Linked DNA regions of Saccharomyces cerevisiae S288C. Changing the gene in region 2 together with the main gene of any one other region gives a genetic interaction. Each region holds a gene or a part of one and is shown on either strand. Other genes may lie near its edges.

What was found. Genes that interact genetically often act in the same process or in processes that back each other up.
Region 1: mutations in ERP4 (region 2) and YSY6 together harm fitness more than expected from each alone (negative genetic interaction), as found in Saccharomyces cerevisiae (one large-scale study listed by BioGRID).

The regions. Positions count from the first base shown.
Region 1 is NC_001134.8:563,156-566,287, reverse strand, and holds YSY6 (Ysy6p), read right to left. Parts: upstream 1,058-3,132; coding exon 860-1,057; downstream 1-859. Other genes in the region: EXO5 (Exo5p), read right to left, coding at 1-565; TOS1 (Tos1p), read left to right, coding at 1,718-3,085. UniProt on the Saccharomyces cerevisiae protein: Interacts with target proteins during their translocation into the lumen of the endoplasmic reticulum. Protects unfolded target proteins against degradation during ER stress. May facilitate glycosylation of target proteins after termination of ER stress.
Region 2 is NC_001147.6:359,489-363,072, forward strand, and holds ERP4 (Erp4p), read right to left. Parts: upstream 1,597-3,584; coding exon 973-1,596; downstream 1-972. Other genes in the region: protein phosphatase 2A regulatory subunit RTS1, read left to right, coding at 1-459; YOR015W (uncharacterized protein), read left to right, coding at 505-864; PET127 (Pet127p), read left to right, coding at 1,924-3,584. UniProt on the Saccharomyces cerevisiae protein: Involved in vesicular protein trafficking.

The DNA.
Region 1 (3,132 bases), on a different chromosome or scaffold from region 2:
AGCTTTTATACTGATTTAATTCAGGATGCGTTTCGTCCTCTAGTGATTTATGAATCTTTTTACCTTTCTGCACCTGAAATTTTAAGTTCAGTAGTTGGTTAGACAAATTTTGAGAATAAAAGTCGTAAAAATTCCTTAACTCGCACCAATTCTGCGTAGTGCATAATTGTGTGACGGATAATCGTTTTTTCTTTAGCTGATTTACTTGAATGTCAAAATAGGGATTCTCTAAACCTCTGGGGAATCTGTAATTGATAAACGAAGGATTTTCAGGGTCTTCTCCAAATAATTCTTTAACGCTGGCCAATTTTTCGCTCAACAATGCTCCTTCCTTAGTATTTGTCTCTTTTGTCGGACTGGTGTTATCGAAAAATGGCAAATTATTGATTCTATCGATATCCGAGGCATTCAGGATACCGCTTGGATCATTAGTTGGAACATCATACATATGATTTTTCTTCGAAGGTAGTATAAATGTTCCATCAAGGGACTTATCGTTTAAATGTACAAATCTCCTAGGATGAATTAAAAATCCATACTTGTTGATTAGTGCCCGGCCCAGCATACGATAAGTACAGAAGAAAAGCAGAAAGCCTACTTGAAAAATTAAGAAAACAAAGACAGTCTACAAAGCTTTTCTGTGTACTATGCCTGGGTCCCCCCTCATACTCATCTTTGTTGCACGTTTGATTGGCATGGTAAATCACAATAGCACTTGAATTACTTCATCTTTTTTCGCATCCATAAATGACAACGCGGGTAATACTGCCTTATGCTTGTTGTTATTATTATTCGAAATCGCTTATTTATTTACGTACTTGCTTCCACTGTACACTTATATATGCAATTTGCCACTGCTTCATAGGATATAGCTGATTAGTTGCAAAACACCACCACCTACGAGAAGAAACAGAAGAATACCCAACCAAGTTTTGGATATCACAGGTGCGGTTTTCTCAGTTTTGCCCTCCTTCTTCTTACCGTATTTTCTATACTTTTCGTTATTCTTGTTAAACTTGGCATTAGCCAGTCTTTGTCTTGGTGTCTGTACGGCCATCGCAGGTGTTGTCCTCTATCTACTTCGACCTCTGCACCCTGCTATTTCTGCATGTAATGCTGTGCTGAAATTATATTTGATATAACGCAAGTAAGCGCAGATGGCGACAAGAAAAAAAGCCACGTCAAGTCATTAGACACGATATCACATACCACGAGATCTGCGCCTCGCTTTTTCTTTTCTTTTCGCGTTGGCGACTTTCCTTTTTCGTTGGCGATTTAGTGCTGGTTTTGTTTATTTTTCCACGCTTTTTCGTCGTACAGCAAACGTGAAAATTCGAAACTTGGGATTTTCATTTAAATATACCACGAATGCAGATGTGATTCATCACAAACGTTCCTGTCTTGGCAATATAGAAAATTTTCTTGCTTAGCCTTGTTTCACTTCCATTATTTTCAGATTTGTTTTAATTTTATTTTCGCATCTCTACTTTTTATATCTCTCGAACTTTGCTAGTTAAACTTCTTATCTCCATTCAATTTTTTTTTATATTATAATTATTTCTTTTCTCGCAAGAAGACTCCAGAATCAAAACTCAAACCAACCTAACTTATCCAACTTCTAGTCACTCCTTCAATAGAACGTCTTTTTCTCACCTTTTCGTTTTTCCATTTACACCCCATAAAATATCTAAAACCTAACGGAATTTGAACGAAAAAAATGTTACAAAAGCTTTCCATGACCGCATTAGTCGGTTTGTTTTCTTCAGTTGTGTCACTCGTGAACGCTGATTGTACTTACTCTGGCGGTAATTACTATTGTGCTCAAACCGATGCCATCATTTACTCTAACGTCGGTTTATCTGCTACCTACCAAGATGTCACCAATATGGATGAATCTTCTTGTGCTTGTACCCAAGCTGATTTCACTGCTTCTGGTAGCTTGGCTCCCTTCAACGAGGAACTATCTGTTCATTTCAGGGGTCCGATCGAGTTACTACAATTTGGTGTTTACTACCCAAATGGTGAATCTAATGCTTTGAAGAAAAGATCAGAGAAACAATCAATCGAGTCCTGTAAGGAAGGTGAAGCTGTTGTCTCCAGACATAAGCATCAGCACAAGAGGGATGTTGCTGTTGAATATGTTCAAGTTACTTCCACTGTTTACGTCGACAGTAATGGTCAAACAGTCACAGCCGATTCCACCAATACCGTTGTCGGTCCTGCTGTTCCTTCTTCTTACACTAAAGACTCTACTGTTTTGTCCAGCAGTGCTCAAGCAGTTGAAACGAGTGAAAGCCAGTCTTCCATCTCTTCCTCTAAAACCACCTCTTCTGCTGCTGCTGCTTCATCATCTTCGTCATCATCTTCTAACACTAACGGTGACTGGTCCAGAGGTTCCTACTTTGTCCCAGGCTCTACTAGCAACTGTACATTCATGAACAACCAAGGGGGGACTGCCGGTTCTGGTGTCTGGTCGAGTTGTTTCGGTAACTCCATCTCTTTTGCTGCTTCAGATGGTGTTTCTGGTGCTGCCTCCGCTCAAGCTCTTGGTGATGTCACCATTAAATCTGGTAATGAATTCATGATTTTCTCCGGTGAAGAATGTTCCGGTAATAACGGCGATTGTGGTTATTACAGAGAAGGCATTCCTGCTTATCATGGGTTTGGTGGGGCTGATAAAATTTTCGTCTTCGAATTTTCTATGCCAAGTGACACCAGCGGTTCTGCCTACAATCAAGATATGCCAGCTATTTGGTTATTAAATGCAAAAATCCCAAGAACCTTGCAATATGGTGATGCATCTTGTTCTTGTTGGAAAACTGGCTGTGGTGAAATGGATTTGTTCGAAATTTTGACCGCTGGTTCTGATAAATTAATCTCACACATCCATGACGGCCAAGATGGTGGTACTCAAGATTACTTCGAGAGACCAACTGATGGTACTTTAAAGGCTGCCGTAATCTTTAATTCAAGTGATAAAACTATTCACATTATCGAAGTCGACGAAAGCTTTGATGCTACTTTAAGCGATGATGTCGTTGACCAATGGTTGAGCAAGTCCGGTTCTTCTGCGGCCTTGCCATAGTCGATCGTTTCTTATTAACCAATAAAATTTTCCTTTTTTTCATTTAT
Region 2 (3,584 bases):
AACTTATGTATCGAAAATGCCGAAGTCATCCTACCCATTATATTTCCTGCATTATATGAATTAACTTCTCAGTTAGAGCTAGATACAGCAAATGGCGAAGATAGCATTTCAGACCCTTACATGCTTGTTGAGCAAGCAATCAATTCTGGTTCGTGGAATAGGGCAATTCATGCTATGGCATTCAAGGCATTGAAAATTTTTCTGGAAACAAACCCAGTATTGTACGAAAACTGTAATGCATTGTACTTATCAAGTGTAAAAGAAACTCAACAGCGTAAGGTGCAACGTGAAGAAAATTGGAGCAAACTTGAAGAATATGTAAAAAATCTAAGGATTAACAATGATAAGGACCAATACACAATCAAAAACCCAGAATTAAGAAACAGTTTCAACACAGCAAGTGAGAATAACACATTAAATGAAGAGAACGAAAATGATTGTGACAGCGAGATACAGTGAAACAGCAATTCATTACAAGCTCGAAGAAGTGAGGAAGTTTAGGGCATGCCACATTTCAAAAGAGCAGCAGTATATGAAGAGCAAAAAAGAACTGGTAAATGGGGTCAACTTGTTGAAGAAACCAAAGATAGAATCCCCGAATATTCGAACAAAACTATAGCAAAGATAAGCCACTTGGACAATGGTTGTTTGTGGCCTGAGATAAAGGTCTCTTTTTCTCATCATTTGAGCATACTTCAATCGATGTGTCTTCATTTTATTATTTCTATACTTTTCTCCAAATATATCTTCGTTTTTCTTTTCGCTTTCCTTCTTCCTTCTGCCTTTCCTCTATTTATTTTGCACTCCACTCTTTTCCGTAAACCTTGCCTATCTATTATTGGATTTTTGAAAACTAAAGTATAAAGGTATGTCATAAATAATTAAATAACAAAAAAAATAGGATCATGATACAAAAAAGTGCCTTCCCCTTAGCACAGCTGATCCAACAATTTTAAGAGCTTGAAAAGCAACCTATACGTAGTTTTTTTGGCGACTGGTAAAAAAGAACTGAATAATTAATGCCTGCACTATACTGATACCAACCATTACCCCCATAATTAGTAATGAGAGCCATGTTAATCTTGACTCAGTAGAACTCACAGTATACATGTTTCTCCATTCTCTAGCCCTTAAATAATCCATTGTTTTGGTGATCTTATTCAGGTTCCTATCAATTTCCTCGATGGCGTTGTTTGCGATTATGTCCTCTTTGCTTTCATGGGAAGAAACAATTTCCTTTTCCTTTTCGAGGGTGATTTCAACTTTCTTTGGGGAAGTGCCGTAGTTATTACTCAAACAGAAAGTGTACTTACCTATACCAAACGACTTCAGTAGAAAATCAGAATGCTTCTTTTGTCTTTCAGTGACGATAACAGAGCCATCAGGGGCGGTAATATCGAAGTCTATCTCGAAATTCCCACCTGTCAAAACTTGGTAACTGACCACAAGGACATCTTTATCAGAGGATAAATCATAGTAAAGACATTCTTTGGTAAAAGCAGGTAATGATATGCCTACAGGAGCATAATTAGAGGAGAATGCATGTGTTAACAAAGATGAACTAAACAAAATCGCAATCAAAGTAAAAACGCGCATAATTCCTAGCGATGATTGGGAATATATATTTATGAAAAAACTTCACTAGCGCTCGTGAAACTACTTCAAAGGCAGCTGGGAAATAAATGTCTTCAAAGCAGAGAAGAGTTCCCAAATAGAATTCTCAGATCGTCAATCGCTCATCTTTGAGTATATCACGTCAAAAAACAGGAAACAGTGAAAAAAAAGTAGTCCATAATAAAGCGCGTTTCCGTCAATGCCGTTGGTTAATAAAGAAACAAATATGTAAAAATATAATATAAACAGGGCACTTGAGAGAGCACAAAAAAGAGCCAAACGCTACCTGATACTTTTATAGTTTTGATAATGGGGTTCTACAACTGTAGATTCCTGTCCAGACGTCTATCTGTTGAGCCTTGCAGAATAGGTAGCGCCGCTAAAAGCTATCAACAGCGATCGATTTATCACTTTGGCGCTGCTCTCACAAATGCCCCTAGTGGAAGAGAAACACCAGACAAGCTACGTTCTGACCTGCATAGTGCTTTAGAGATGGTCGATGAAATATATGACACAAATTCGACTGTAGAGGACATTGGAAACAAGGAAAAGGGAGGTCGACAAAAATATACGGAAGAAATGGACAAGGCGATTAATCTACTGAAAACAAATATAAAGAAGGAGTATAGACATGATAAGTATTTGGAGCGGACAAAGGTAGGAACGTATCCTGGTAGAAGAACATATCCTGGTAGGAGAACATATCCCGCTAGGAGAACATATCCCGCTAGCAGAACATATTCAGATAGCAATTCATACACTTTTCGGATAAATGTCCAGAAGATTAGGCACGCATTAGTACGTTACAATCAAGATGGTGTTCAAAAACACAACCAAAAGCCTCCTAGGATTGGTCATGGATTAACGAGAGTGTTATACCAACCGTTGTCGCTACAAAAATTGAGAGATAATAGGAGCAGAATGTATAATTTTGACCCTGCAGTGGAAAATATTAATCCAGAGTATTTGGAAAAGAAAAGTGAAAAAGATGTGAACACAGACTCCTCTGGAGAAGGACAAAGCAAGCCAATATTCATCACACCCCACAAAGATGAATCTCTGTTAAAGGTTGCCAAAGAACATAGAAAAAAGTACATATCTTCATCAAGTTCCATGACATCAGTACTTTCTCAGTTGCACTATTTATTATCCAATTTCAGAAGATTGAATATCATTGATTCCTCGATATCGAAAAATTTTCCTCAAAAAAACTGCAATTATTCAGAAAGTGCATATTTTCCGTCAGCAGTCATTCTGAGAAAGAAGAGAAATGGCATTTGTTCTATTGATTCAGATAGAAGTCTGGATAGGGAGATTGTGCTTTCTGTACTAGGTCATTATCTTGAAGACTTTTTAACGGAAAAGTCCCTGAAGAATAGTTCAAAAAGTGAAAATTATCACTATTCTAGTATAGATGAATTCATTGTGAGATCTCAATTGGACGCGTACGACCCAAATCTACCTGGAACGGGTGTATTTGATCTGAAGACAAGAGCAGTTTCTGCCATAAGATACGATTTATCACATGTAGAGAGTAATAACAACCAAACTGGATATGAGATAGATAAAGTTTATGGGGAATTTGAGTCTTTGGAAAGAGAATATTTTGAACTAATCAGGTCTGCCCTTCTAAAGTATTCTTTGCAAGCTAGAATTGGCAAAATGGACGGTATTTTCGTTGCATACCACAATATTTCTAAGATGTTTGGATTCCAATATCTACCTTTGGACGAATTAGATTATATAATCCATTCTTCGTATAACAGCAAATTCGACAGTTTGTTAAAGGAGAAGAATGATATCACAAAAGGGATATATGGTGAGGAGGACTACATTCTACACTATGACAGGGACGATAGGAAAATTGCTTGCTTGGTGGCTAATAGGGAATTTAAGATGTCTATGAATCTGTTCAGTAATATTTTGAAACACGTTGAGCAGTTACTTAACTCAAGTAATACGAAATGGGA